Linked DNA regions of Anolis sagrei. The protein of the gene in region 1 purifies or fractionates together with the protein of each later gene. This does not show direct contact. Links are inferred from orthologs where the notes say so. Each region holds a gene or a part of one and is shown in the gene's direction. Other genes may lie near its edges.

Region 1 (11,116 bases):
ATGAGAATGGTATGATGGGTGTGCCTAAAAACATGGACATGAACAATAACATCATGCTTCCCAGGATGTGTCACAATTGTTTTATTTCTGGTGGAACTGAACAATTGTGATAATGTGCCAATTAGTTCATCCCTTTTTTTTCTTTTCTTTTTTTTTTTTTTTGAGGAAAAAGTCGATTCAGGAGTGTTTTCCCTCATAAATTTCAAACAAAGCACTTTCTGAAAGTAATTTTGGGGATATTGCATCCTGGAATGTTGTATCCAGTTCTGGGCCTGACATTTCAAGAAGGATATTGACAAACTGGAAGGTGTCCAGAGAAGGACGACCAAAATGATCAAAGGTCTAGAAACCAGGAATCCCCGTGAAGAACATTTTAGGGAGCTGGTTATGTTTAGCTTGGAGAAAGAAAGACTGAGAGGGGACATGATAGTCATATTTAAATATCTGAAAGGATATCACATTGAGGGGGTATGTGTTGTTTTTTGTTGTTCTAGAGCAGTTTTTCGTTGTTCCCAACCTGTGGGTCCCCAGATGTTTTGGCCTTCAACTCCCAGAAATCCTAACAGCTAGTAGACTGGCTGGGATTTCTAGGAGTTGAAGGCCAAAACATCTGGGGACCCACAGGTTGAGAACAACGAAAACCACTGTTCTAGAGATACTGAGTATATTGAGCAATGGATTCCAGCTAAAGAAAAAGAGATTCATTCTAAACCTTAGGAAGAACTTCCTGACAGCAAGAGCTGTTGAAGCATGGGATATTCTGATGGAGTCTCCTTCTCTGGGTGGTTTTAAGCAGAGGCTGCATGGTCATCAGTCAGGAGGACCGATTGTGTGTTTCTGCATGGCAGGATTAGACTGGACAGCTCTTGTAACCTCTTCCAAGTCTGATTCTGATCACTTAGATGGGTGTAGATCAGGCCTCCAGGTGTTTGGGCCTCTAACTCCCAGAAGCTCTAGCCAGCTGTTTCAATGTCCAGGAATTCTGGGAGCAGAAGTCCAAAACACCTGGAGGACGGCAGGTCGCGCAAACCTGGTGTAGACACAGCTGAATCAGCTCCACAACAGTCAATCCACACAGCCTGCCCCACATTACCAAAGCTGGCGGAAAGTATAAATTTGGGCACAGAATTCTTAAGTGGACATTCCGGATGCAGAACTCGCTTGCAGAAGCTCTGGACCTTTACCAAAAGGATTGCCAACAAATAAATCCCTGATATTTTATGGAACAACAACTACATAGGGTGACTCTAAGCAGACATTGGCAAATTTTGGCCCTCCAGGTGCTTTGGACTTCAACTCCCGCAATTACTAATAGTCAGCTGCTGGGATTTGAAATCCAAAACATCTGGAGGGCAGAAGTTCACCCATGACCGCCCAAAGGTCACCATAAGTCAAAAACGACTTAAAAGCACACAGCAGCAACAAGGCACTTACATCTTGGATCATATTGTCTTCCCTGTATGGGATTTAGTTGTAATAAATTCCTACTTATTGATTCTAGTTGATGGAGCTTCACAGGAGTTTTTGACATATCTCTAAAAACTTCCAGTAATTACCAACAGTAAAAGTATAACTATAAGAACATGTACATACTTGGGAGTTAACTTGATAGGCATAGTGATTCCCCCTTTTTGCTGATAGTTATTCCTCATTTGTAGGATTTATCAGTTATGGAAAGGAATTAAATACTGGCGTTCCCATCCAGTAGTGTGTTTGCATTTCGCAACATGTTGAATTTGAAAGGCTTCTGGAAAATCCTAGAAGTTCTACATCCAGAGGTCAGTAGGAACAATATTGTGAATGCTTTACTGAAGGTAAAACAGAAGGGCTTACCCCTTAGTACTATTGTGGAAATGGCATCATTAATTCTGAGTAACAAGTTTACATCAAAATTTGAGGACAACCGAGACAACAACCTGAGAAACAAATAGCTGTGGCTGAAAGAAGATGATGTCTTTGCAAGCGTGAAGAGAAAACACACTTTAAGCTGAAGAGTTGTGCTAATCCACAGGTCTTTTAGAACATACTAGCCGTCCCTGCCACGCGTTGCTGTGGACCAGTCTGTGTATATGGGCTTTGTGTGTGTGCATACAGTATTTGTGAATATATGTGTGTTTGGTCTATCTATATAAATAAAAATGTAATATTCATTTGTGGGATTAACATAACTCAAAAACCACTGGACAAATTTGGACACAATACACCTATCAGGCCAACAAGTGACCGTCACTCATAAAAACACTGAAAAACACAGCAGAAGAGACTTAAAAAGCAAAAATATATATATACAGTACAACGCATGCACAAAACTACGTGCGCTGTACTGTATATATGTGGTTTTGTGCATGCGTTTTACTATTTATTTATTTTTTTGGCTTTTTAAGTAAATTAGGGAAAATGTATACAAAATATTTTATAGAAGTTATACAACACCAGTTATTGCAAAAATAGACAAATCAGGTGAGAAGGATTTTGGTGTAAAGTAACTAAGGAATCAAAACGTTATGCAATAAGGTAAAAAAATCAGGAATGTCTTTGCTGGGATTATTTAGGGAAGACTTCCATCAGAATGATAAAGAAATAGCCTAATACAGTTTTGCAGCAGCAAGAATGATAATTGCTAGGAATCAGAAAGGGGAAAAAGTGTTAACTAAGAAAGATTGGAAAGACAAACTAATGGATTACAAGCAAATGACCAAGATATCGGCTGCCCCAGGGCTGTGGAATGACCTGTGGTAGAACTCTTGATAGCTAAGACAGACACAAGCAAAGACCTGTCTCTTCTGGGAGGCCTACCCAGACAGTCTTTAAACATGAATTTGAATGCTTGTCCTTTGTTCAATCTGTATTTTGTCTGTTTTAATGTGTATTTCATAGAGATACTTTATGGAGCTACATTTTAGTGTGGGTATTAGTAGTGTTTTTGCTGTGATTATACATTTTAATTGTTTTGTAGCCCACCTTGAGCCATAAGGAGAGGTGAGTAATAAATAAAATTATTATTAACTTGGTGAGCAAAATCAAGAGTTCCTAAAGAGATGGAAATGGGCAATGGCATATCTGGAAGGAGAGTCAAAGAAGTGAACGATAAATAGTCCCAGGAGGAATGTATGGGCAAACATGACAGAAGGGTAAATAAATCATGTTATGGGCACCACAATGATGAGGGATGGAAGTCAAGATGCAGGGTGTATGAGGTAAGGGTTGACTTTAGTGTAGGATGTGGGCAAGAGGGATGTCTTACACGGTGTAGTGCAGGCGTCATGTGTGCTATGTCTACTTGGGATGCCCTTGAAAAGTGCCTAGAAACTCATACTAGTTCAGAGACCTGCAGCAAGGTTATTGACAGGTGCTGGACCCAGGGAGCGTAGCACCTGTTACAGCACCTGTGCTGGCTGCCAATATGTCTCTGTTGTTGAAGGCTTTCATGGCCAGAATCACTGGGTTGCTGTGAGTTTTCCGAGCTGTATGGCCATGTTCCAGAAGAATTCTCTCCTACCGTTTTACCCACATCTATGGCAGGCATCCTCAGAGGCTGTGAGGTCTGTTGGCAACTGGGCAAGTGGTGTTTATATATCTGTGGAATATTCAGGGTGGGAGAAAGAACTTGTGCCTGCTTGAGGTTTGTGGGAATGTTGCAATTGGACACCTTGATTAGCACTGAATAGCCTTGCAGCTTCAAAGCTTGACCGGTTACTGCCTGAGGGGGTGTTAGCCGGCCCTGATCGATTCTTCTCTGGAATTCTCCGTCTGAGTGTGGCTCTTTATTTACTGTCCTGATTTTAGAGTTTTTAATACTGGTAGCCAAATTTTGTTCATTTTCATTGTTTCCTCCTTTCTGTTGAAACTGTCCACATGCTTGTTGATTTGAGTAGCTTCTCTGTGCTGTCTGACATGGTAATTGTTACAGTGGTTCAGCATTTCTGTATTCTCAAATAATATGAAGTCCAGGTGGTATACGGTAAGCTCCTGCAGAGGTGAGAGGATCCCTCTTGTCCTTTGCTGAATGTAGCATTTGTTGGATTTTCTTAGTGGGTCTGTAGATAGTTGGTAGGTTGTGTTTCTTCATCAGCTTCCCGATGTGGTCAAGTGGTTCCTTGATGTATGGTAAGAACACTTTTATTAGAAGCTGCAAAGCCATACAGTGCTAATTCAGGTGGCCAATTGCAACATTCACACCTAGCTCCAGCAGACAAAAGTCCTTTCTCCCACCCTGGACATTCCACAGATATATAAATCCCATTTGCCTAATTTCTAACAGACCTCACAACCTCTGAGGATGCCTGCCATAGATGTGGACGAAACGTCAGGAGAGAATGTTTTTCGAACATGGTTGTACCGTGCAGAAAACTCAAAGCAACCCACCTTGTATCCTGCATTTATTTATTTATTTTATTTATTTAGCAGTCCCTCCCCAAATGATCTTAACGTCCTAACTGGTTCATAGGAGGAGACATGTTCGGACAGGTAGGTCGGGCCAGAACCGTTTAGGGCTTTAAAGGCTAAAGCCAGCACTTTGAATTAAAATAATTAAATATATTTTAAAAATAAATAAACCCAGATACTGATGTGTGCCCATGAAGGGAAGAATCAATTCAGAAACAAGATATTCCTTCTCAGAAATTAATTCTGAGGCAATTCATTCATTTATTTCCTCCAGGAAATAAAGCCCAACTGCTCATTGGAGGGAAGGATACTAGAGACAAAGTTGAAGAGGAGACAGCAAAGCCTGGAGAAGACAATGATGCTGGGGAAAGTGGAAGGTAAAAGGAAAAGGGGCCGACCAAGGGCAAGATGGATGGATGGCATCCTTGAAGTGACTGGACTGACCTTGAAGGAGCTGGGGGTGGTGACGGCCGACAGGGAGCTCTGGTGTGGGCTGGTCCATGAGGTCACGAAGAGTCGGAGACGACTGAACAAATGAACAACAACAATGTAATGCAATATAATACTACTAATAATATGATAATATAATAATACATTTATATTACATGTATTATTGATAATACATGTAATATGTTATGGTAGTGGGGTACAAATAAAGTTTATTATTATTATTAAGGGCGGCATATAAATGTTGTAATTAAATAAATAATAGGTTGTATTGAATTATTTATTTATTTATTTGCTTTATTTGTATACCGCTCTTCTCAGCCCTTAGGCGACTCAGAGCGGTTTACAACAGTTTAGATATACAGAATTCAAAATCATTACGCATTTAAAAACAATTACTAGTATTATATTGCATTACATTACAATATTATGTATATACAATATATTATATTATAACATATTATTAGAATAGCACAGGAGACAAGGTGGAACTGTCCCCTGGCCCCTCTTTCTTTGCTCTGGCCCAGAGCGGCAGTTCGTGCTGGGGGGAGGGGTCCCCAACGGATGGCAAATGCAGGAGACAAGATGGTGCTGTCCCCTGGCCTCCCCTCTCTTCACTCTGGCCCAGAGTGACAGTTGAATAATATGCATCTTCTGTAAATTAAACAATGTATAACAAATGTATTGAACTATGATAAAATAATTAAAAATATTTTAAAAAGTAAATAAACCCAGATGCTGACGTGTGTTCATGAAGGGAAGAATCAATACAGAACCAAGATATTCCTTCTCAGAAATTCAATCTGAGGTAATTCATTCATTTCATGTGTTGTATTTTTAATAAGGAAGTAAATAATGGGTTGTATTGAATAATATGTATCTGCTGTGAAATAAACAATGTATAACAAATGTACTGAACTATGATAAAATAATAATAAATATAAATATTTTAAAAATAAACAAACCCAGACGCTGATGTGTGCCCATGAAGGGATCAATCCAGAAACAAGATATTCCTTCTCAGAAATTAATTCTTAGGTTATTCATTCATTTCATGTGTTGTTTTTTTTTAAGAAGGAAGTAAACGACCCACAAGACAAGCGTCTTTCCCTTTTTGGGAGAAAGCGGAAGTGACAGGGAAGCTCCTCCCTACAATGGCGGCTCTAACGTCACACCCACTTCCGGTTGTTTGCACCGCCCCTTCCGGTAACGGTCGTCGAGGTCCCCTCCCCCTCCTGCTTCCCTCACAAAACAACAAAACCGCAATCAAAAACGAATCCCTACACTTAGGAATCGCCTCCCCGGCGGGTATAAAAGGAAAGCGCAATTACCTGAGGCCAGACCGCGCCGCCCGTGACTGAGGAGCGGCCTTTTCCGCCCGCGACTGAGGAGACCACAAAATGGCGGCCGAGGGAGGCCGCAATCCCCACCACAGGCCGCTCTAAAGTCGGCGCTTGCGCAGTCGGCGCCGGGCGAATTCTTCCTTCGCCACCACAAACAAACCTCCAGTCAGCCCCGCCCCCTTTTCCTCCCCAGCCAATCGCCTCACGCCATCGTTCTCAGCTCCTGCCCAATCGCGTCGCGGGAAGAAAGAGGCGGGGCCTTCTCTGTGTGGAATCTTTGACTTCACTCCCTTTTAAAGCCTTCGCGATTGGAGGGAGGCGGGCTTTGTAGCGCTGGGCCAATCCAAGAAGGGAGGGGGAATATAATCCACCAATGGGAGAGGAGGAGGGAGACGGGCCAATAAGACTTATAGAAACGGGAGCGATAGAACCGAGGAGGCCCAATCGCCTCCTCGATAGCCGGAGCCAATGAGAAGCGAGGGAGAATAGGGGAGGAGAAGCCAATAGGGGAGGAGAAGCCAGCGCGAGCGCGTCACGTGCCGTCGGCGGGCCAATGAGAGGCCGCGCTGCTCCTCACGTTGTTATTGAGGGGGAAGTCGGTGAGTCAGTCAGTCAGAGCGAGAGAAGGGAAGGAGGAAGGAAGGCAGGAAGGAGGGAGGAGGGCGGGCTGCGGGGGAAGGGGGCGGGCGGGGAGGCGGAGCCGCGCGGAACAGCCCCCGCCGCTTCTTCTCCTGCCTCTGTCGTCGTCGCCCTTCGTTGGGGAAGAAGGAGGAAGGAAGAGTGGCCCACCGGGGACCGGGGTGAGTTTTGCGGCCTACCTCTGAGGGAAACGGGACCGGGCCCGAAGCCAGGAGAGAAGGCGGGGAAAAACTCCCAAATCCCCTCACGAAGCGTGGAAGTGGGGCCTTTCCTTATTTCCTCGCCTGAACCGCATCCACACCGTGGGATTGATTCGCTTTTAGCCCTCATAACCTTCTCTGACTTAACATCTCAATTATCTCTGTGTTCTCAAGGTGTCGTCGTCCCAAGTTGTGTGCGACTTATCCTGAGTTGAGACTTCGAGGAGACAATCGGACCCCTTCGCCTCTACACTCAGGAATTAACGCAGTTTGACACCGCTTCGGTCGCCATGGCTACGGAACGCCGAGGCTCCAACGTGATTCCATAGCATTGAGTCAAAGTGATGTCAAACTGCATTAAGGCTGTATTGAGCCGACTGGGGACCTCTGGGTGCTTTGGACTCCAACTCCCACAATTCCTAACATCCTATTAGATGTATTAAGCCGACTCGGGCCCTCTGGGGATTTTGGACTCCAACTCCCACAATTCCTAACAGCCGGTAGGCTGTTAGGGATTGTGGGAGTTGGAGTCCAAAACACCCAGAGGGCCCGAGTCGGCTGGCTGTTAGGAATGTTTTGGATTCCAACTCCCACAATTCCTAACAGCCTATCGACTGTATTAAGCCGACCCGGGCCCTCTGGGTGTTTTGGATTCCAAATCCCACAATTCCTAACATCCTATTGGATGTATTAAGCCGACTTGGGCCCTCTGGGGGTTTTGGACTCCAACTCCCACAATTCCTAACAGCCGGTAGGAATTGTGGGAGTTGGAGTCCAGAACACCCAGAGGGCCCGAGTCGGCTTAATACAGCCGATAGGCTGTTAGGAATTGTGGGAGTTGGAGTCCAAAACACCCAGAGGGCCCGAGTCGGCTTAATACAGGCGACAGACTGTTAGGAATTGTGGGAGTTGGAGTCCAAAACACCCAGAGGGCCCGAGTCGGCTTAATACATCCAGTCCAAAACACCCAGAGAGCCTGAGTTGGTTTAATACATCCAATAGGATGTTAGGAATTGTGGGAGTTGGAGTCCAAAACTGAGTTAAGACTTCGAGGAGAGAATCAAAGCCCTTCGCCTCTATACTCGGGAGTTAACGCTGTTTGACACCGCTTCAGTCGCCATGGCTACGGAACGCTAGTGCTCCAACGTGATTCCATAGCATTGAGTCAAAGTGATGTCAAACAGCATTAATTCCAATTCTGGGCACCACAATTGAACCCGGAATGTGTCCAGAGGAGGGTGACTAAAAGGATCAAGGGTCTGGAGAACAAGCCCTATGAGGAGCAGCTTAAGGAGCTGGGCATGTTTACCTTGAAGAAGAGAAGGCTGAGAGGAGATATGATAGCCATGTATAAATATGTGAGAGGAAGCCACAGGGAGGAGGGAGCAAGCTTGTTTTCTGCTTCCTTGCAAACTAGGACACGGAACAATGGCTTCAAACTTCAAGAAAGGAGATTCCATCTGAACATGAGGAAGAACTTCCTGACTGTGAGAGCCGTTCAGCAGTGGAACTCTCTGCCCCGGAGTGTGGTGGAGGCTCCTTCTTTGGAGGTTTTTAAACAGAGACTGGATGGCCATCTTTCAGGGGTGCTTCAAATGCAATATTCCTGCTTCTTGGCAGGGGGTTGGACTGGATGGCCCATGAGGTCTCTTCCAACTCTAGGATTCTATGATTCTAAGGCTCTGTTAAGCCAACTCGGGTTCTCTGGGTGATTTGAACTCCAACTCCCACAATTCCTAACAGCCGATAGGCTGTTAGGAATTGTGGGAGTTGAAGTCCAAAACACCCAGAGGGCCCGAGTTGGCCCGTGTCTGCCTTTATGACATTGGAGAATTGGGACAAAACTAACAACACTGAATTTCAACAGGGAAAGATATACTGTATTATTTATTTACGACATTTATATGCCGCCCTTCTCACCCTGAAGGGGACTCAGAGCGGCTTACAAGTCATATGTACATACAGCATATGATATCATTAGCATAGTACTAATACACCATTCATAATAATAGTATTATATAATATTTTATAGTTGCTATATTACATTTTGGCAATAAAAATGGAAGGTACGGATAATGATGGGAAAACCTGGCTTGAAAACAATCTATGTGAAAAGGATCTGGGTGTCTTGCTATGCCACAAACTTGAGCATGAGTCAACAGTGTGATGCAGCAGCTAAAAAGGCCAATGCGATTTTAGGCAGCATCAGAACTCACCTGGAATACTGTGTCTAGTTTCGGGCATTATATTTCCAACTGAGGTCTGACCAAAACAGAACAGAGGAGGAATACTCGCCTTGAATACTGTGTCTAGTTCTGGGGATTGTATTCCTAGTGAGACCTGACCAAAACAGAACACAGAGGGATACTCACCTGGAATTCTGTGTCTAGTTCTGGGCATTACATTCCAAGTGAGGTCTGACCAAAACAGAACTAAGTAGGAATATTCACCTGTAATTCTGTATCTAGTTCTGGGCATTATATTCCAAGTGAGGTCTGACCAAAACAGAACAAATCTCTAGGTTCTCTAGCATAGGTAGTGGAAGCTGGCATGGGCCAGCTTGGGCCCTCCAGATCTTTGTACTCCAACTCCCACAATTCTTAACAGCCGGTAGTTGGCCCATGCCTGATCTAGATGGGCTCCACTTCAGGTCAACTCCCAGAATTCTATAGCTTTGAACCATGCCAGTTAAAAGCGGTGTCAAACTGCATTCATTCATCAGTATAAATGCATTCATGAGGCAGGCAGGACTTTAGAGTGCTTTGCTGTCGACACACACTTCAACCCACCAGACTCTTTTCTTTGGGGATAATATTTCCCAAATGGACCACTTTTCTCTCCTCGCTACTCTGTCACCTCATATATGTTTTTCTCCAAGGTAGCTCCATGTATAGAGTAGTATTACTGGACTGGAGGAGGCATCCTTATGAGGGGCGAAAAGGAACCTCCAGGGCGAGGATTTCTGTTTCTCAAAAAGTCACGTGAAACTTGTTTTTGCTTGTCGAGGGGCGAGGGAAGCAAGCACAAGCATATGGGGAAGTGGATTAGAAAGGAAAGGGGCAGGTTTTGTCAAGAGGAACGTGTAGGGGTTGGAGGTGGGCTGTGAACTGAAGGGCCCACTGGTATGCACTCTGGTAAGGAAGGGAATCAGAGGACTGCACATCTCTGAGTTCTCATTGTAAGTACTTTTGCCTGCACATGTATACAGTTGAGTAAATAGTGATAGAGGGTGTGTCCACATGCAACTGACCTGTTAGTCTTCACTTTACAAATCAGCTTCCTTACCCAGAGAGCATGTTTGGCCTGGCATTTGTGATATTTGATAGGGAGGCTGAAGGTGCTGGCTGTAATTTTGTTTCAGTTCCACGATCACATCTCTCCCTTTTACCTTAGAACATTGACAGGAATCATGCTGTCTCCAGATAGCAATGTAGGCATGGGCAAACTTCAGCCCTCCAGGTATTTTGGACTTCAACAGTCGGTTGTTAGGAATACTGTGAGTTAAATTCCACAACACCTGGAGGACCAAAGTTTGCCCGTGTCTGCAGTAATGGATGGCAATCCCAGCAGCATTGGACAGTATAGCCAGTGGTGAAGTATGAGTACTGTACTCCAGCACTGCATGATTCCCACCCTGCTCTGAAATGCCTGTCTTCTGCATGCATGTAGTGTTTCTCTTTTACTTGACAGGTTGCAAAGAGGGAGAGGGCCGTGGCAGTGATTGACACTGAGGGATGCAAAGTTGAATACGAGAGAGAGAGAAGATGATGGCTTCAGCTGCTTTTTATCCAGAGCTTGCAAAAGCCCAGTTTAGCCATTCTGGAGCTTTCCTTTAACCTTTCAATAACATGTTAGTCCTGGAGTGGGTGTTTCAGAGATGCACAGGGTGTGTGTTGTGTACACTATAGAGAGGAGTGTGTTTAATAATCAGCCAGAGATTTTGTGAGTGAATTCTCCTCACAAGTGCCGTATCACCTTTCCTGTAAGAATCTACTCATATATTTTTCCTTTGACTTCTAGATTTTTCTTCAATAGTGAAAAGAGAAGTTTTCTGAGCTGGAATCCCTCAAATAACTTTCCAGGATGAAGGTAAATGCATGC
Region 2 (10,735 bases), on another chromosome or scaffold:
AGCAAAGCGGCTTTGGGGCCGCTTCACCCACTGCCTCCCCAAGTTTAAAAGGTTGTAAATGTTGTCCCTCCATTTCTAAGCCGAATAACCGGCGTTGTCCATAGACACCTCCAAGGTCATGTGGCCAGCATGACTGCATGGCGCGCCGTTACCTTCCCGCCGGAGCGGTGTCTATTGATCTACTCACATTTGCATGTTTTCCAACTGCTAGGTTTATATTATAACCTGCTAAGTTTATATTTGTTAAAATTGTTCTTCATCTTAATTATTGTATTATTTAAAGTGGTTTTTTTTTTTTTTTTTTTTTTGCACTACAAATAGGATATGTGCAGCGTGCATAGGAATTCATTCATGGTTTTTTTTCAAATTATAATCCAGCCCTCCAACAGTTTGAGGGACTGTGACCCGGTCCTCTTTTTAAAAAGTTTGAGGACCCCTGATTTAGAGAGAATTGTGGGATTTCCTGGGGGTTTTCTTGGGGCACAAAGTGATGAAGATTCAAGTAAGGGAAATGATGGTTCTATCTATTGTTGAAGGCTTTCATGGCCAGAATCACTGAGCTGTTGTAGGTTTTCGGGCTGTTTGGCCATGTTCTAGAAGCATTCTCTCCTGAGGTTTCACGCACATCTATGGCAGCCATCCTCAGAGGTTGTGAGGTCCTCAAAGGTTGAGACCTCACTATCTCTAAGGATGCCTGCCATAGATGTGAGCAAAACGTCCAGCAGCCTTAGGCTATACTACAACAAGGGCACCAAATGGGGAAATGGTCCATGACTATCCTTAGGAAATGAAAAATGAAAATGAAAAACGAAATGCAAAGATACAGAATGGGGGACAATAATGCCTGGCTCGAGAGCAGTACGTGTGAAAAAAGACCTTGGAGTCCTCGTGGACAACAAGTTAAACATGAGCCAACAATGTGATGTGGCGGCAAAAAAAGCCAATGGGATTCTGGCCTGCATCAATAGGAGCCTAATGTCTAGATCTAGGGAAGTCATGCTACCCCTCTATTCTGCTTTGGTTAAACCACATCTGGAATATTGTGTCCAATTCTGGGCACCACAATTGAAGAGAGATATTGACAAGCTGGAATGTGTCCAGAGGAGGGCGACTAAAATGATCAAGGATCTGGAGAAAAAGCCCTATGAGGAGCGGCTTAAAGAGCTGGACATGTTTAGCCTGAAGAAGAGATGGCTGAGAGGAGACATGATAGCCATATATAAATATGTAAGAGGAAGTCACAGGGAGGAGGGAGCAAGCTTGTTTTCTGCTTCCCTGGAGACTAGGACACAGAACAATAGCTTCAAACTACAAGAAAGGAGATTCCATCTGAACATGAGGAAGAACTTCCTGACTGTGAGAGCTGTTCAGCAGTGGAACTCTCTGCCCTGGAGTGTGGTGGAGGCTCCTTCTTTGGAAGCTTTTAAACAGAGGTTGGATGGCCATCTGTCAGGGGTGATTTGAATGCAATATTCCTGCTTCTTGGCAGAATGGGGTTGGACTGGATGGCCCATGAGGTCTCTTCCAACTCTAGGATTCTATGATTCTATGCAGGTAGTCTTTGTTGAAAACCTATATCAATGGGGATTTGCCTTAGGAAATGAACTTCCCAAGGCTGGTGTCTCGCTGGGGTCACGAAAGGGTGGCTTCCCATATTTCATATACAGACACATACATAAGGGAGATACATAAGGGATAATGAAGCATAAAGGAATTTCATAATACACCATCCCACCCACCAGAGTCCAAAAGAATAAGTTCATAAGCACAAAATAATATCATCCCTTAATCATGAAAGGAAGTCCACGGGGCTTGGAGGGAAGTTCCAGAAAGTTTTCAAAAGTTCTTGGAAGTTTGGGAAAGTTGATCAAAGTTGTAAAATCCAGAAAAGGCAAGTGGGGAAAGGTGTCCCTGTGTCCACAGAGTCCTTATGAGCTGACTGCCAACGTTGAAGATCGAGATCCGCGGAGAGAACCACAGATCCCTCCATACCAAGGACCAGGGCAGCCCGCCGACATCTTGGGGATCCTATGGGTTGACCGTGACAGTTTCCCAGGAACAGCAGGATCCTTGGACATCCACAAAATGGTGGCAACGAGGCAACATCTTTGGAAAAACAGCTGGGCTCCAGGATGTGGTTTTGGGGACAAAAAGGTTATTCCCGGGGTGGAGGGTGCAGCGGAGCGAAACCAAGATAGCCATTAGTCTTGGAATTCTCCCAGGAAAAGAATGACACCATTTGACTCGCGGATACGGGGGCCCGAGGGGTTTCCATATCCGCGGTTTAAAGGAATGCAGTTTCGGCCTCCCGGGGACGCGAAAATCGCATCCTAGGAGGGCCGGCAGTCATCTGCATCTGGAGAAGAAAGTTTTATGGAAAGAGAGGTTTCTCTTTAATAAGGACTGAGTGGGATAGATATAATGATGATAATGTTGTTGTTCATTCGTTCAGTCGTCTCCGACTCTTCGTGACCTCATAGACCAGCCTACGCCAGAGCTCCCTGTCGGCCGTTACCACCCCCAGCTCCCTCAAGGTCAGTCCAGTCACTTCAAGGATGCCATCCATCCATCTTGCCCTTGGTCGGCCCCTCTTCCTTTTGCCTTCCACTTTCCCCAGCATAATTGTCTTCTCTAGGCTTTCCTGTCTCCTCATGATGTGGCCAAAGTACTTCAACTTTGTCTCTAGTATCTTTCCCTCCAGTGAGCAGTTGGGCTTTATTTCCTGGAGGATGGACTGGTTGGATCTTCTCGCAGTCCAAGGCACTCTCAGCACTTTCCTCCAACACCACAGCTCAAAAGCATCGATCTTCCTTCGCTCAGCCTTCCCTAAGGTCCAGCTCTCACATCCGTAGGTGACGACAGGGAAGACCATGGCTTTGACTAGGCAATGGATCTTGGTTGCCAGTCTGATGTCTCTACTCTTCACTATTTTATCGAGACTGGACATTGCTCTCCTCCCAAGAAGTAAGCGTCTTCTGATTTCCTGGCCACAGTCTGCATCTGCAGTAATCTTTGCACCTAGAAATACAAAGTCTGTCACGGCCTCCACGGTTTCTCCCTCTATTTTCCAGTTGTCAATAATTCTTGTTGCCATAATCTTGGTTTTTTTGACGTTTAGCTGCAACCCGGCTTTTGCGCTTTCTTCTTTCACCTTGATTAGAAGGCTCCTCAGCTCCTCCTCGCTTTCGGCCATCAGAGTGGTGTCATCTGCATATCTGAGGTTGTTAATGTTTCTTCCAGCAATTTTCACCCCAGCTTTGCATTCATCCAGCCCCGCACATCCTCGCATGATGTGTTCTGCATACAAGTTAAAAAGGTTGGGTGAGAGGATGCAGCCTTGCCGGACGCCTTTCCCAATCTTGAACCAGTCTGTTGTTCCGTGGTCAGTTCTGACTGTTGCTACTTGGTCCTTGTACAGATTCCTCAGGAGAGAGGGAAGGGGGCTTGGGATGCCCATCCCACCAAGAACTTGCCACAATTTATTATGATCCACACAGTCAAAGGCTTTAGAATAGTCAATGAAGCAGAAGTAGATGTTTTTCTGAAACTCCCTGCCTTGATGATAATAACAACTGATAATAACAATAAGTTACCAAGTTTGGTCCAGAGACACCAAGCCCTATAGATACAAACCAACCAACCAACATATATACAGACTTTTATAGAGAGAGATCATGCAGGGAAACAGTACAAAATTATTCTTCAGGAAAGCAGAAGGGTATGACTACAACACTTTCTTTTTTTTCTGGAAGACTTTTTAAAAAGAAAATTTTTAAGACTGAGACAGAAGGGGGTGATTATTTATTTTAACATCTTATGGGCAAAGCCTCCAAAAAAAATATTCCTAGAGCATACCTGGCACCGTTCTAGCCTATAGGCTCCCTCGAGTGGCTGCATCTGAACATTGCAGCGTAAATCTCCCATTTTCTGGGGTGTTGTGTGGTTTTCGGGCTGTATGGTCATGTTCTAGCAGCATTTTCTCCTGGTGTTTCGCCTACATCTGAGGCGGGCACCTTCAGGTGATCCGATCTATATAAATAAAAATGTAATGTACGTTTGTGAGATTAACATAACTCCAAAACCACTGGACGAATTGACACCAAATTTGGACACAAGACACCTAACAACCCAATGTATGTCCTTCACATGTACATTTAATGAAGCTTTTATGCCCTATGTTTCATATATAGCAGAAGGTAACAGGTTTATTACTGAGAAACCACCTCCCGTTACACTTATGTACTCTCTTGAACTTCTATGGGACTCTATATTGACAAGCTGGAATGTGTCCAGAGGAGGGCGACTAAAATGATCAAGGCTCTGGAGAACAAGCCCTATGAGGAGCAGCTTAAGGAGCTGGGCATGTTTAGCCTGAAGAAGAGAAGGCTGAGAGGGGATATGATAGCCATGTATAAATATGTGAGAGGAAGTCACAGGGAGGAGGGAGCAAGCTTGTTTTCTGCTTCCTTGGAGACTAGGACACGGAACAATGGCTTCAAACTACATCTGAACATGAGGAAGAATTTCCTGACTGTAAGAGCCGTTCAGCAGTGGAACTCTCTGCCCCGGAGTGTGGTGGAGGCTCCTTCTTTGGAAGCTTTTAAACAGAGGCTGGATGGCCATCTGTCAGGGGTGATTTGAATGCAATATTCCTGCATCTTGGCAGAATGGGGTTGGACTGGATGGCCCAGGAGGTCTCTTCCAACTCTTTGATTCTATGATTCTATGATTCTGGTGGGAGGGATAAGTGGGTATGTTTTCTGTATGATGATTTCTATATTTCTATATTTCTCCCTGTGTACCTTACCTTTTCCTGACCCTTTTGCCCAATTCCCCTTTATCGAAAAAATGTATAAAAATATAAGAAGCAACCCTGTGACCCTGGAAAGGAGGAAATCCTCAGTTGAAAAAGAACCTTATCAAAAGACATTTCTTACATGGAAAATAACAATGAATCGTGACCCCTGGGCCACGTAGTTGCCCCCCCCCCCCCCAAGGGAGGCGGTCGCTTGACATTAATGATCCTATCTCAATAGGACAAAGGAAGCCTTTGGAAAGCCACCCTTTGTCCTGATCTGTTACTCATTTAAATCTCCTTCCATTGAAATTTCAGCCAAAATTCCCTCATTGTTTCTATATCTCAGCACCCAGAAAATCCAAATCTGGCAGGCTTGCCAGACATTGACATTTATTACAGCCAATCAAAGACAATAGGAAAGGCTGGCTCGCAGGCCCCCAGGACTCGCTGGCTGCTTGGACATTTCCTATCTTCAATAATAATAATAATAATAATAATAATAATAATAATATTACAATATTGCTTTCTCTCTTTTCAGAGAGAAAAAGCAAGATATAAATAAATATAATATAATAAATATAATATTTGTTTTAATAAGAATAATATAATGCGCATACGATACTTATGTATGTTAATATTATCTCAGGGCATTATTTCATATTATGTTATTATTATTTGAAATAACATAATATAATATATTATTATAATAAATAACAATACAAAAATATATTATCATAGAATCATATATTATATTTATTATATTATTATTTATTATACTACATTATATTACATTATTTCAAATAATAATAACATAATCTGATATTATAATATTATATCAAAATATTATAATAATATAATATTATATTATTATAATAAATAATATAAAATATATTATCATAGAATCATATATTTATTATATTATTATTTATTATACTACACTATAATATATTATATATTATGCTACATTATACTATATTAAAATTACTTCAAATAATAATAAAATAATCTGATATTATAATATTATATCATAATACTATAATAACATAATATAATATATTATTATAATAAATAACAATACAAAAATATATTATCATAGAATCATATATTATATTTATTATATTATTATTTATTATACTACATTATATTATGTTATTTCAAATAATAACATAATCCGAAATAATGCACTGAGATATTAACACACATAACTTTCGTATGTGCATTATATTATTAATAAGTCATTATTAATAATATATTATTAAATTATTATTATTAAAACAAATATTTATTTATATTTATATTTATAATAAATAAAAATATAATAATTGTATTATTATACTATATTATTATTCATAGAATCATAGATCAAAGAGTTGGATATATTGTTATATTGTATTATTCTAATAATAATATAATAAATATATTATTCTAATAATAATATAATAAATATATTATTTTATTTTATATTTTATATTTTATATTTTTTGTATTTTATTTTATATTTTATATTTTTGTATTATATTTTATATTTTATTTTATTTTATTTTATTTTATTTTATTTTATTTTATTTTTTGTCCCAGAAAAAAACTGGCTGGGCCTGTTTTGTTTCCTTTCTGCTTCGTTGCTATGGAAACTGTCCGCCTTCCGCTTCCGCCTGCCCACAATTCTACGCGAAGGACCCCAGAGTTGTGAGCGAAGTGCAGTGGATGGCGTTATCGTTTCGCAAGGCAAAGTCCGCTGTGATTGGCTAGCGCCGGTGGGCGGAGCCAAGCGGAGCCGACTTCCGATTGCTGCGGGAGCCCTGAGCGGCGTTTGCGTCCTCCTCGGCTCCTCCCCCAGGTAATAAGGGGTCCCGGCTATTTTCCCCATCACCCCCCTTTTTATCGGTGAAGTTGGTATCGTCCATTCCAGCCTTATCCATTTCCCAATGAGAAAGCCAAGGGCCAGTCCATTACAACTCGGACAAAGGGGGGTTTATATATGTGTATGGCTATAATACTACTACACTCTTCCCCCTTTGAAATGTTTAATGGTTTGTTCCTCCAGGACAATCCTAGGAGAAGTTGGACGAGTCCATTGAAATCAGGGGGAGGATACTGATTATTTTGAATGGTGGGCAATGCAGGACCTTCCAGATCTTCAGGACTTCTGTTCTTATCACTTTTTGCTAAGGCTCACTCTTTGTTATGGTTGATGGGAGATGTAGTTCAGTGGCATCTGGGAGGCCAGTTTAAACCTCTCCAAGTTAAGGGAGAATACATATTTCAGTTCCTATTCAGGTATATAAATGCAGTATTTCTTTGGGAGCTCAAATAGGCTAGTTGAGAAACTACAAGTCGCTTCTGGTGTGAGAGAATTGGCCATCTGCAAGGACGTTGCCCAGGGGACACCCAGAAGATTTGATCATCCTTGTGGGAGGCTTCTCTCATGTCCCCGCATGAGGAGCTGGAGCTGATAGAGGGAGCTCATCCGCCTCTCCCTGGATTCGATCCTGCGACCTGTCAGTCTTCAATCCTGCCGGCACAGGGGTTTAACCCAATAAACAATGATGATAATGGTTTACAATATGTAAAATAATCCTGCAAGTCATTAAAAGTTGGAGATGAATAATTTAAATATCTTTAAATATGTTTAAAATAATTTAAATATATATATATAGAGAGAGAGAGAATATCTATATCAGTTTGACTTCTCATATTATTTCAACGTATGCAGAATAAATCCTGCAGGTCATTAAAAAAGCTGGAAATGAGTATTATTATTATTAATAATAACAGCAAATCATGCGATGTGCGGGGCTTGATGAATGCAAAGCTGGGGTGAAAATTGCTGGAGGAAACATTAACAACCTCAGATATGCAGATGACACCACTCTGATGGCCGAAAGCGAGGAGGAGCTGAGGAGCCTTCTAATCAAGGTGAAAGAAGAAAGCGCAAAAGCTGGGTTGCAGCTAAACATCAAAAAAACCAAGATTATGGCAACAAGAGTGATTGACAACTGGGAAATAGAGGGAGAAATCGTGGAGGCCATGACAGACTTTGTATTTCTAGGCGCAAAGATGACTGCAGATGCAGACTGTGGCCAGGAAATCAGGAGACGCTTCCTTCTTGGGAGGAGAGCAATGTCCAGTCTCGACAAAATAGTCAAGAGTAGAGACATCAGACTGGCAACCAAGATCCATTGCCTAGTCAAAGCCATGGTCTTCCCTGTAGTCACCTACGGATGTGAGAGCTGGACCTTAGGGAAGGCTGAGCGAAGGAAGATCGATGCTTTTGAGCTGTGGTGTTGGAGGAAAGTGCTGAGAGTGCCTTGGACTGCGAGAAGATCCAACCAGTCCATCCTCCAGGAAATAAAGCCCGGCTGCTCATTGGAAGGAAGGAGACTAGAGACAAAGTTGAAGTCCTTTGGCCACATCATGAGAAGACAGCAAAGCCTAGAGAAGACAATGATACTGGGGAAAGTGGAAGGCAAAAGGAAGAGGGGCCGACCAAGGGCAAGATGGGTGGATGGCATCCTTGAAGCGACTGGACTGACCTTGAAGGAGCTGGGGGTGGTGACGGCCGACAGGGAGCTCTGGCGTGGACTGGTCCATGAGGTCATGAAGAGTCGGAGACGACTGAACGAATGAACAACAACAACAGCAAATCAATATTAATATTATATTTATATTATTAAAATAATATGCAATGCCACTCTTTAATAACTTTTAAGAATAATAATGATTTACAAATAAAATGTATTATGTTTTTAAAATATTTAAAACATAATAACAATAATAATAATAATAATAATAATAATAACTAGCCTGAAAAAGTTACACATCAAGCTACTCTAAGACTTCTGGATTCAGACAGACAGAGTTTTGGAGCACAATACTCCTGACCTCACGATTATGGGAAAAAACAGTATAGATCGATGTTGCAATCCCAGGCGACAGCAGGATAATAATAATAATAATAATAATAATAATAATAATAATAATAATAATAATGCTTTATTTATACCCCGCCACCATCTCCCCCAACGGGGACTCGGAGCGGCTTACATGGGGCCAAGCCCGAACAACAAATTACAATACAAAAATACAAATTGCATTAAAATAAACAACATAACAATAAAATATAAAACATCAAAGCATATAGATAGTATACACAGAAATAGAAACCAAACATAATGACTAAGAGAGGATTGATGAGAAGCAACTGGAAAAGCTGACACGATACAAGGATTTAAAGATCGAGCTGCAAAGACTCTGGCACAAGCCAGACAAGGTGGTCCCAGTGGTGATCGGCACACTGGGTGCAGTGCCTAAAGACCTTGGCCTGCACTTAAAAACAATTGGCGCTGACAAAATTGCCACCTGCCAGCTGCAAAAGGCCACCCTACTGGGATCTGCATGCATTATTTGCCGATACATCACACAGTCCTAGACACTTGGGAAATGTCCGACGTGTGATCCAATACAACAGTCAGCAGTGTGGTCTTGTTTGCTGTGTACTAATCTTGTTGTGTATCAAATAATAATAATAATAATAATATTGACAAAATCACTGTCAACTGCAAAAGGCGACCTTACTTGGATCTGTGCGCATCATTCGAAAATATATCATACAGTCCTAGACGCTTGGGAAGTGTTCGACTTGTGATTTTGTGATACGAAATCCAGCATAGAGATCTCATTTGCTGTGACATACTGTGCTTTTGTGTCGATAAAGTAATAATCATTTCTCTGCATGGCGGAATAGGGCTGGACTGGATGGCCCCTTGAGGTCTCTTCCAATTTTGGAGTCTATGATATAAATTATTATTATTATTATTATTATTATTATTCATCTGCACATCAGAGTAGGGCTGGATTGGATGGCCCCTTGTCTCTTCCAATTTTGGAGTCTATGATATAAATTATTATTATTATTATTATTATTATTATTATTATTAATCTACACAGCAGAATAGGGCTGGATTGGATGGCCCCTTGAGATCTCTTCCAATTTTGGAGTCTATGATATAAATACTAATAATAATAATAATAATAATAATAATGATAATAATTCATGTGCACAGCAGAATAGGGCCCTTTGAGGTCTCTTCCAATTTTGGAGTTTATGATACAAATAATAATAATAATAATAATAATAATAATAATTCATGTTCACAGCAGAATAGGGCTGGACTGGATGGCCCGTTGAGGTCTCTTCCAATATTGGAGTCTATGATATAAATACTAATACTAATTATTATTATTATTATTATTATTATTATTCATGTTCACAGCAGAATAGGGCTGGACTGGATGGCCCGTTGAGGTCTCTTCCAATATTGGAATCTATGATATAAATAATAACAATAATAATAATAATTCATCTGCACAGGAGAATAGGGCTGGACTGAATGGCCCTTTGAGGTCTCTTTCAATATTGGGAGTCTATGATATGAATACTAATAATAATAATAATAATAATAATTTCTCTGCACAGCAGAATAGGGTTGGATTGCATGCCCACTAAGGGTCCCTTCCAAGTTTAGGCTTCCAAGATCCAATATAGGCTGGATGGCCATCTGTCGGGAGGGCTTTGATTGTACCCTGATGCAGTTTGACTTTTGATAAATTGTAAATTTAATAAAAAAAATTTGGCCTTTTGTATTCCTCAAGCTGGTGTTGGCATCTCTCTCTAGAAGACCATGCCTGTGCAACCCTTGCCGAAGGAGATGGAGGTGGAAGGAGATTCGGCCGCAGAGATGAATGGAGAGGAAGAGAGCGAGGCTGACCACAGCGCTAGCCAGTCGGAGTCGGAAGAGGAGAGCTCAGGTCAGTCAGTGCCTGGGGTAGAAATATCACACATTTCGCCTTTCGGAGCGGTGGGTTCAAAGACCATTACCGTATACTTTGGGCTTCCTCCATGGCACACTCTGCCCATTGACTTGCATTGCTTTGCCC
Region 3 (11,049 bases), on another chromosome or scaffold:
TTTACTTTGTAGGAATGCCCACTAGCTGTAAAAAGAAAGTGGTTCTATAAATGTTAAAATCTGTGATTGTTAAACTTCAAGTGATACACCTCATGTTTTGGTTTTCTCCTTTGACTAAAAGTGCATAAATTGCTCATGTGCAAATTTCCTGCTTTTAACTGTATTTTTTGGGGCTCCAAGACTACTAAGTTGCACACATTTTCTGTTGCATAAGCTTGTCTACTTCCAAGTAAACATGCAGAGTGTCAAACTGCATATATTACAGTGTGTTGTTGAATCGGGTAATTCATTTAAGGCCAACCAAAAAAGCTCAATATGCAAGCTTTCAAAGGTACTAGCCAGGACAGATGCTGCAAAAGGTGAAAAGAGGGAGCAATATTGTTACAACATGAACATGTACATTATCTTATTATTCTTTGACCTAGGTTCAATTGTTAGTCTCAAATGGTTCCATTCATTCATGCTATTGAACAAATGGAATTTATATGAGTGTAAATTCACATTTCAGCAATTGATTCAAAAGTACTATATATACTTAAGCATAAGCCAATCCTAATATATGACAAGGCACCTAACTTTACCACAAAAACCTGAGAAAACGTATAAGCCAAGGGTAGAAAATGCAACAGCTACTGGTAAATTTCAAAATAAAAATAGATACCAATAAAATTACATTTATTGAGGCATCAGTAGGTTAAATGTTTCTGAATATTTGCATAAAACTATAATTTAAGATAAGACTGTCCAGCTCTGATGATGATGATGATAATAATAATAATAAACCATTATTCTAACCTCCTTCAATGTAAATGTGCTAAAGTATCCTTCCAATATTAATAGAGTAAAATAATGTAATAAAATAATTGAAATATAATAACAGTAATAACAGAGTAAATTAATTAATGTAATAATGACAACAATAATAAATAGAGTAAAATAATAAATGCAATAATAAGAGTAAATTAATGTAAATGTAATAATAATAATAATAATAATAATAATAATAATAATAGAGTAAAATAATAAATAACTTTGACTTGAGTACAAGCTGAGGAGGGCTTTTTCAACTTAAAAAAGGGCTGAAAAACTAGGTTTATATTCGAGTATATACAGTATACTTTAGTTAGGAATTGTATTAGAAAATAGGATTAAAACAGTGCTGCCTATGCTATCAGGTGTAGGAAACCAGCAATTTCCTCTCAATTTGGCTACAGTTCTTCCCCCCCCCCCCCCTGTAAATTCCTAAGTATTAGCAGCTGGTGGATAATGAACTACACTGGTTAAATGATCATTACTTGCATAAAGCATCCCAAGGCCCAGCAGCCTTTATTACACAGCCAGAAAGATTGTTACCAGAGAAGGTAGCAACTCTGTTCAAGCCTGAGAATATCACAAGAAGATGTAACTAACTATAATGACCATAATTTGTTGTTGCACCCCCCTTCTCTTTTTTTGTTCTGTAACATTTGTGAAGTCCAGAAGTTACAATAAAATTGTAACTTTTTTGCCAGGGCTTTCTCCTCTCTCTACGCATATCCTTCAAATTACAATAAATGTTCATTTGTAAAAATAAAATATATTTAATTATGCATATATATATATTGAAATCTAACACAAGTCTATGGTTTGCATCGTTGTTTTAGTGGGCTAAACTTGCCATAAGTAAGTTGAGTAAGAGACATCTGCAACTTTTTGAATCAGACAAGAGGTAACTAAGGATAAGCCTACAGTTCCAGTAATAACGTTAAAAGTAAAACATGAAAAATTGTATGCAAAAATATTTAAAAGCAAGTTATTTAAAATATGTTACCCGTATTTTGTATATTTGGTATGATAAATACAGTCAACCTTCCATATCCACGGGTTCCGCGTTAATGCATTCAACTAACCGTGGCTCCAAAATACTCAGACCTTCATTCTGATTTATGCTTCCATTTAAATAGCCTCTTCAGTCATATAGCTGTAATATTTTTAAAAGAAAAAAAAGGCTCTAATATTAGAAATGCAAAAACTGTTATCTTACAGCAAACCATTGAGAACTCAGGGCCCTCCCACAGAGCCATATAACTCAGAATATCTGTTTTGAACTGGAATGTCTGAGTCCACGCTGTCATATATCCCAATTCAAAGCAGATAATGTGGGATTTTATTCAGCTGTGTGGAAGGAACCCAGATCATCTGGATTTTATATGGCAGCTTGAAATGGGGATTTTAGAGCCCTTCCGCACAGCCATATAACCCAGAATATCAAGGCAGATAATCCACAATATAGCTGTGTGGAAGGGCCCTCGGGAAGAGTGAGGGCCCCTTGGAGCATTTTATTCACTAGTCAAAAATCCAGGTGCTGAAGGGAAGACCACAAAAAGTACAGTACAATCCCATCTTATGTTTACGAGATACATTCCTAGACTTTATATGGATATTTAAAATCACAGAAAATAACAAATTATTAATTTTTTGTGGAGTGGATGATGAAAGTACTGAAATCATGTAGTTTATACAGGTGATCTGAACTTAGTAAGTGAAATTGTGGATGAGTGTAATAGTGTATATGGTTCTGAGGATACAAAACGTTGTCCTGTATCTATATACAATAGCAATCTCTTCCCTTTTCCGCTCCACAGCAAAAGAAGCCCACTTACTCAATACTGGAGGTAGACTACTACCCGATTGGGGCACTAAGTTTAAGATAACATTGTATTGTCTTAGAGGTTGTGTAAACACACTCCCTAATGCAGCTAATAATTTTCTAAGGACCCTTCCACACAGTCATATATCCTCGAATATCAAAGCAGATAATCCACAATTTCTGCTTTGAACTGGATTATCTGAGTCCACACTCAGATAATGTGGGGTTTTCTGCCTTGATATTCTGGGATATAGAGCTGTGTGAAAGGTCCCTCTGCCCACTTGCAGCTTTCACTTTTGACTTGGGGCCCTTCCACACAGCCATATAACCCAGAATAGAAAAGAAGATAATCCACAATATCTGTTTTGAACTGGATTATCTGAGTCCACAATGCCATATAATCCAGTTTAATGTGGATTTTAGCTGTGTGGAAGGAGCCTTGATCAATGAGGAGCAAATCAGTTGTTGCGCAGTAGGTGAACTCAATGCCTATCCAACAATCTAGTTGCCTGATAGGAAATTTCCACAACTGTGGTGTAACTGTTCTGATATGTTTTTTTCTGCTTTTGTAAAACCATACAGAATCTAGGCTGGGAGATATAATTATATAACTATCCTTTTTTGTTTGTCTTCCAGCCATTTCCAACTTACAGGGATCTTATCACAGAGTTTTCTTGGTAAGATTTGTTAAGAAATAATTTTCCTTATGTCTTCCTCTGTGGCAGAGGGACTATGGTTAGCTCAAGGTCATCCTGTTGGGTTCCTGTGGCTGATCGGGTATTCAGCCATGATCATAGTTGTAATCCAATGTCCAAACCACAACACCATGCAGCTCTCACTAGTATTGACCTAGGACCCTTCCACACAGCCCTATATCCCAGAATATCAAGACAGAAAATTCCACAATATCTGCTTTGAACTGGAATATATGACAGTGTGGACTCAGATAACCCAGTTCAAAGCAGATATTGTGGGATTTTCTGGCTTGATATTCTGGGATATAGGGCTGTGTGGAAGGGGCCTATGTTGCAGGAACAGCTCCTTTTGTCTCTATGGAATCTTCTGTTATTGAAATTTGTGAACCAGCTGTTTCCCTTCTGCAGGACTATCCATTTTCCGGAGCTGGTAATTACAGTTGGCCCATGGTATCCACTGGGGTTTGGTTCCAAGTAACACACACACGCCACGGATATCAAAATATGTGGGTGCTCAAATCCCATTATCTAAAATGACATGGTAAAATGACATTAATTTAATAAAATGGCAAATAACTCAAACAAGTGTTGAGGATCTGTGAAATGACAGGAGGTTACAAGAGAATATGCCTATACATTACCATGGTGCTTCGCATGTGGCAAAATCAAAATGTTGATTATTGGATTTCCCTCCCTGAATATGTTATAATTGAATCTGTTAGTGCAGAATTTCTGAATACAGTGGGACAACTGCGTGTCCACCTCCATCATGTGCTTTCCTAAGCTAAACAGCTTTGCAATGTTGTAAGCAAACGTTTAATTTCCTTGCACCACAGAAGGAAGAGGATTGTCTTGAGCAATACAAAAATACACTAACAATAGCTGATGAGAAAAAAAGCTCTGTGCATAATTTTTAGTGATATCTGCCACCACAGGTAAGAAAACATTTAAAAGGGTCTTTTAAATTTGTCAAGTAGGTCTTCCTGCCAAATTGCTTATGATTGTACAGGCAGTCCCTGAGTTACAAACATCTAACTTACAAAGAACGGGGATGAGACAACAGGAAATGAGAAAATCTACCCTCAGGAAGAAATAGCCACCCCTGAGTTATCATGGGAGGAAAGGGTCTCTACTGAAGCTTTATCACCAATCCCTGTGAGCCTCCAGTGGCGCAGTGGATTAAACCCCTGTGCTGGCAGGACTAAAGACCGACAGGTTGCAGGTTCAAATCCGGGGAGAGACGGATGAGCTCCTTCTATCAGCTCCAGCTCCTCATTTGGGGACATGAGAGAAGCCTCCCACAAGGATGATAAAAACATCAAATCATCCGGGTATCCCCTGGGCAAAGTCCTTGCAGAAGGCCAATTCTCTCACACCAGAAGCGACTTGCAGTTTCTCAAGTCGCTCCTGACACGACAAAAAAATAAATAAATCCCTGTTTCCACAACAAGCCTGTTGGAAATAGTAACCTTCTCAAGCCTCCACTAGTTACGTGTTATATATATAGCTAGCTGTCCCGTGTCATGCTTTGCTGTGGCCCAGTCTGTGTATATGTGTTTTGTGTGTGTATATATGTGTATATATGTGTGTGTGTTTGCATATATACACACACACACGTGTGCACGTGTGTACATATATGTGTGTGTGTATATATGTACATATGTGTATTTTTGTGTGTTTATATGTGTGTATGCATGTGTATATGTGTGTGCATGCGTATATGTGTGTATGTATGCGTGCATGTGTTTATGTATATGCACCTTCCTCTTGGCACGTTTCTCTCTTTTACCCTCCATTTGTGCCTCTTCAAATTCTGCAGCACTGCTGGTCACAGCTGACCTCCAGCTGGAGTGCTCAAGGGCCAGGGCTTCCCAGTTCCCAGAGTCTATGACAGAGTTTTTAAAGTTGGCTTTGAGCCATCTTTAAATCTCTTTTTAAAGGGGCAATGCCAGCTAGCTTGTAGAGTTTATCAACAGGTGTAGGTTTAAGACAGGGGTCCTCAAACTAAGGCCCGGATATAGCTCTCCAAGGTCATTTACCCGGCCCTCGTTCAGGGTCAACCTAAGTCTGAAACAACTTGAAAGCACACAACAACAACAATCCTATCTCATCAGCCAAAAGCAGGCCCACACTTCCCATTGAAATACTAATAAGTTTATATTTGTTAAAATTGTTCTTCATTTTAATTATTGTATTGTTTTAAGTGATTTTTGCACAACAAATAAGATATGTGCAGTGTGCATAGGAATTAATTCATTTTTTTTTTCAAATGATAATCCGGCCCTCCAACAGTTTGCGGGACTGTGACCTGGCCCTCTGTTTAAAAAGTTTGTTGACCCCTGGTTTAAGACATCCTGTGATTATTCTGCAAGTTTCATTCAATGCTATGTTCACCTGCTTTGCATGGGCAGACCTATGCCAAACAGGGCAGGCATACTCAGCAGTTGAGTAAGACAAGGCCAGGGCTGATGTTCTTATTAATTTTGGGTCTGCACCCCATGTGCTGCCAGTAAGTTTCCACAGGATGTTATTGCATTCAGCTGGAGGTCAGCCGTGACCAGCAGTGCTGCAGAATTTGAAGAGGCACGAATGGAGGGTGAAAGAGAGAAACGTGCCAGGAGGAAGGCCGTTGAGCCAACCCCGGCCGAGACCGCCTTCCACCTGGAAACCAACGCCTTCACTGTGGGAGAAGATGCAGGTCAAGAATAGGGCTCCACAGTCACCTATGGACCCACAAGAATACTGATCCTGGGAGACTATCCTTCTCGTCTAAGTAAGTAAGCTGGGGAGGGGGGGGGCACGCCAAGAGGAGTGGTGGTTCTCATAAAGGAGTTGGCTAGGCTTTGCATTGCAATGGGAGAGAGCAGTCTTTTCCAACTTCCCGCTTTCAAAGCCTCCCCCCCTTTCCAAAAAAAAACCGGTCGCATGAGAGGAAGAGAAGGAGGGGGAGGGTCTGAAGCTCAGACGTCACGAGGCATTTACTTAAATGGCATCCGAGCGAAGGTTTCAAAAACCGGTGAGGAGAAAAAAAGGGAAGCGGGTCACGTGTCCTTCGCAAGCCTTGCCTGCCTGCCTGCGCGCGCGCAAACAAGCCCGCTTTGTAAATACACCACCACACTGAGGCGGCGGAGGAGTTCCTTTTTTTTCTACATCTCGCAAAGCGTTGCATTCTGGGATTGGTAGTCCTGAAAGGCGTCTAATCCCTTCTGCAAAAACAGAGACAGGAACTACGTTTCCCATGAGCGCATAGCGAGAATTCGAAAGGGGAGGGGGGAAAGAAAGAGGAGAGAGAGGAAAACAGAGCCAGCTCTACCGGGGTTTAGTGTTGTTGCTGCTGCAATGGGGAGAGGAGTGCTGGAAAGTGCCGCGCGGTGCCCCAAGGGGTGATTGATATCCCTCCGACGAAGCCGGGAAAGGGAATGCGGTGGGTCTCGCCTTGAGCAAGCAAGCAGCACCAACACACGCCTTCCCCCGTATTGAATGACTTTACTGTCGAAACACAGCGCGGAGATGAATGGCTTCGGGCCCGACGACGTGGCCCGAGGAGGAGGAGGAGGAGGGCCAGGAGAAGCCCCGCTCCCCGCCTTGGTTGCCAATGCCGGGGAAGCCCTTCCTCTGCCGCCGCCACCTCCTCCTCCTCCGTTGCCCCTTCCTCCACCTCCTCCTCCGCCCGGGCTGGGCATGGCCTCCTCCTCGGTGGCCTCCTCTTCCTCCTCTCCGTCTGCTTCTTCGGGGGCGGCTCCGGCTGGCTCGGGCCCCGGGGCGGGCCAAGTGTGCTGCCTGAGGGAGGAAGGCGAGCGGTGCGGGCGGGCGGCGGGCAACGCCAGCTTCAGCAAGCGCATCCAGAAGAGCATCTCCCAGAAGAAGGTCAAGATCGAGCTGGACAAGAGCGTGAGTCTTGGCTTTCATGGCTGGAATCACTGGGTTTTTCGGTTGTTCTAGAAGCATGCTCTCCTGACGTTTCGCCTGAGGCTGAGGCTTGAGGCTTGCCATAGATGTAGGCGAAACGTCAGGAGAGCATGCTTCTAGAACATGGTCAGGAAAAGAGAGTTATTGTGCCTGCCTGCCCTCCTTTGCAGACTTTGCTTTGATCTCCTCCCACCCACTTTTGACTTGTTCCCCTTGAAGTTTGCTTTTTCCCCCAACTCTTTCGACTTGGATTGGTCATTTTTGCAGCCTGCTTTGCCTTATATGCTGCTTAGACTTTGTCTTGTTTGTCTTCCACTTTGCATTGTTTTCTCCACTTTGCATTGTTTTTTTCTCCACTTTGCATTGTTTTTTTCTCCACTTTGCATTGTTTTTCTCCTTGCTTTTGCGTTTACTGCACGGCCTTCTTTCTATTTTTGGGCAGTTTGCACTGCCTCCCCCCCCCCCCCTACTGTTATATTCCTGACAGGCCCTATTATCCCAGGATCTGATCCCAAGTTTCCAGATTTTCTGCTTTAAACTGGATTATATGTGTCCGCACTGCATGATAATTGGTGGCACTCTGAGTGTACAGTGTATCTGGCAGCGCCCACTCATATAATCCACTTTAAAGCAAAAATACTTGTGATCAGTTCCTAAGATAAAGGGCCTGTCTGGAAGGGCCTTGAGTCTGTATCTACGCCGCCCTATATCCCAGGATCTGATCCCAAATTTTCTGTTTATCCTGGCTTATCTGGCAGTGTGAACTCATATAATCCAGTTTAAAGCAGAAAACCTGAGACCAGATCCTGGGATAAAGGGCTGGCCTAGAAGGGCCCTAAGGCTGAATCTACACTTCCCCATATCCCAGGGTCTGATCCCAGGTTTACTGTTTATCCCAGATTATCTGGCAGTGTGGACTCATAGTCCAGTTTAAAGCAGAAAACCTGGGGTCAGATTCTGAGAGGTAGGCCTGTCTGGAAGGGCCCTCAGGTCCCGCTTCTACACTGCCACATACAATCCAGATTATCCTAACTGGATTATATGTCTCTACACTGCCATATGATCCAGTTCAAAGCACAGCATCTGGATTTTATGTGTCTGCTCTTGAAATTTTCATTGCATTTTCTTTGCACTTCTTATTGCCTTTCACTGCTTACTTTAATCCCATCTGCACTGGCCAATAACTGTTGGAAACTGCATAGACAATGAGAGATCATTACTGGGCCTCTGGTTGAGAACTATCTCACACCTTGGCTTTGTTGGTCCGTGTTGGCCCAATTACCACCACTGGCCATACAACCAGTCTTGTTAAGTTGCAATGTTGTTTTTGTGTTGTGGGTTTCTCTGAGGTTGTAATGCTGGGACTTGCTTGTTTTATGAATGTATGTTGGAATCCGCCTGAGCGGACGGAATATAAATAAAGTTTTATTATTTTCTTATTTATACCAGGCATGGGCAAACTTTGGCCCTCCAGGTGTTTGGACTCCAACTCCCACAATTCCTAACAGCCAGTAGGCTGTTAGGAATTGTGGGAGTTGGAGTCCAAACACCTGGATGGCCAAAGTTTGCCCATGCCTGGTATACAGTCATTATTTGAGTCTACACTCACTCAATGCAATTTCCAACTATATTATTTGGCACTATGGAGGGGGCCATTGTCTTGTTCTTTGTGCAGTTTCGCAGTCTTCCTCCCATCGCCTTGTTTCTCCTTGAAGTTTGCCTTGCCTCATTCTCCTTGCCTTTGCGGCTCTTTTCTCCTTGCAAAAAACAAGTGTGCAAAGCCATCCGCCTGTTCCCTTTCTCTCTCTGTCTCTCACTTCCCGCCCTCCTCCTTCATGTCTCAGGACGGCAAAGAAGTGCAGACAGGAAGGCAACAAAAGCCATCCCGCCACAATGGAGGAAGGAGAGAGACAGAGAGAGATTCCCCTTTCCAAGGGGGGTCCTTTCTCCAGATCTGAGGTGTTTCGATCCCAATCCCGATGACTTTTTGTTGTCCCATTTCCCTCCACAGTCTCCTTCCACTTCATTCCTTGAGAGGGAAACAGAGATGCAGCAAAGGAATGAGGAGTTTGGCAGATAGGATCCCCCAAAGCTTGGGGCAAATCTCATTCCGCATCCGGCTGTTTATGTCTGACGCGGCAAAAACCTGCTCTTTGTCATCTTCTCTCCCTCCTTGATGGCATTGCTACTTTGATGTTATTTTGCTTTTTTCTTGCTCTCATAGGCTGCCTCTACCTTTCATAATTGAAACACCCTAATGCCTTAATATAATGGAGTTGTAATTTTGCAAGGTCTGCAGCCTTCTCTCGCCGTACATTCCACAAAGTGATGTTAAAACTACATTCATTCCTCACTGTGTTATTTTGTCTGAAGACCAAAGCATCTCAACCTCTCCTTTCTCTTTGCAGACAGTGTTATACATACAACACATACACACACACATATATATGGCTTTCATGGCGTGCTTCTGTTTTCCTGCTCCGCCTCGTGCTGCTGCTGCAGTGTTTGCACGTCCGTCCCACCCGCATCGTCTCTTCTCTCTCCCCTTTTGGCAGCCATCAAGCCCTTCTTCCAGCACTTCATTTAAGCCCCGCCACTAAAAGCCAGGTCTCCCCGCCTTCCACTGGTGGTTTTGCTCCTTTTAAGACATATATAAAGCAGAGAAACACTCCTAAATGCAACAGACACGTTCCCAGAGTCAGGGCACGTGAACCTGCGGAGTACCCGCCTGCTTGGCTTATGCTTATGCATGGCCTTTATGCGGAAGGAAAGGCTGGTGTTTGAATACTTTGTGCTTGCAAAGCCAGAACAAAACAAGTCTTGTGGTTGCCTGGCTTTGGAAGCACATTTGGAGAGGTTTGGGGATCATTGGCACACAAATCATGCCGCATTTGCATACAGTGGGATTAGGTTCATTAGGCTGTGTCTATACTGTTTGTTTGTTTTTTCTTGTGTAAGGAGTGACTTGAGAAACTGCAAGTCGCTTCTGGTGTGAAATAATTGGCTGTTGACATTGCCCAGGGGACACCAGGATGTTTTATCATCCTTGTGGGAGGATTCTCCCATTTCCCTGCATGGGGAGCTAGAGCTGACAGAGGGAGCTCATCTATGCTCTTCCTGGATCCGACCTGTCGATCTTCAGTCCTGCTGGCACAAGAGTTTAACTCATTGCACCACTGGGGGCTCTGATGTCTATACTGTTGATTTGATGCAGTTTGACACTGCTGTAACTCCCTTATGGAATCCTGGGAACTTGTAGTTTGTTGTGGCACCAGCACTCTTTGGCAGAGAAGGCTAGAGTACCTTGTAAAACTACAACTCCAGGGATTCTGTAGCCTTGAACCTTGGCCATTCAAGTGGTGTCAGTCTCAGATCTTCATTGAAGATAGTGGTTTTGCTGTACAGAAATCCTGGAACCAGTTTGTGGCCTGGATGGTGATAACACAAACCACAGAGCACATTAAGGGCTTTCTTTTACATGCTTTTGTGGAAGTTTGTTGTCTGGCCACAGCAGCTTGAAGCTGGCATCAAACTGTGTTAAAGGGTCAGTATAGATGGGGCCTTGGCGTGCATTTATATTGTAGAGCAGTGGTACTCAACCTTCCTAATGCCACGTCCCCTTAATACAGGTCTTCATGTTGTGATCCCCAACCATAAAATTATTTTTGTTGCTACTTCATAACTAATTTTACTAATGTTATGAATCGTAATGTAAATCTCTGATACACAGGATGTGTTTTCATTCAGTGGACCAAATTCAGCACAATACCCGATACACCCAAATTTGAATACTGGTGGGGTTGGGTGGGGGGAGTT

Evidence for each region.
Region 2: the proteins of ARID4A (region 1) and BRMS1 purify together in Homo sapiens (affinity purification with western blotting; 3 studies listed by BioGRID and IntAct, with this or other methods). This does not show direct contact. The link is inferred for Anolis sagrei from reciprocal best matches to the Homo sapiens genes ARID4A and BRMS1.
Region 3: the proteins of ARID4A (region 1) and SAP30 purify together in Homo sapiens (affinity purification with mass spectrometry; 5 studies listed by BioGRID and IntAct, with this or other methods). This does not show direct contact. The link is inferred for Anolis sagrei from reciprocal best matches to the Homo sapiens genes ARID4A and SAP30.

The regions. Positions count from the first base shown.
Region 1 is NC_090021.1:334,654,097-334,665,212, reverse strand, and holds the start of ARID4A (AT-rich interactive domain-containing protein 4A), read left to right. Parts: upstream 1-6,851; 5' UTR 6,852-6,976; intron 6,977-11,035; 5' UTR 11,036-11,098; coding exon 11,099-11,104; intron 11,105-11,116.
Region 2 is NC_090032.1:9,013,504-9,024,238, forward strand, and holds the start of BRMS1 (breast cancer metastasis-suppressor 1), read left to right. Parts: upstream 1-6,478; 5' UTR 6,479-6,635; intron 6,636-10,450; exon of another isoform or gene 10,451-10,473; 5' UTR 10,474-10,479; coding exon 10,480-10,606; intron 10,607-10,735. UniProt on the Homo sapiens protein: Transcriptional repressor. Down-regulates transcription activation by NF-kappa-B by promoting the deacetylation of RELA at 'Lys-310'. Promotes HDAC1 binding to promoter regions.
Region 3 is NC_090025.1:60,583,387-60,594,435, forward strand, and holds the start of SAP30 (histone deacetylase complex subunit SAP30), read left to right. Parts: upstream 1-6,576; 5' UTR 6,577-6,804; coding exon 6,805-7,215; intron 7,216-11,049. UniProt on the Homo sapiens protein: Involved in the functional recruitment of the Sin3-histone deacetylase complex (HDAC) to a specific subset of N-CoR corepressor complexes. Capable of transcription repression by N-CoR.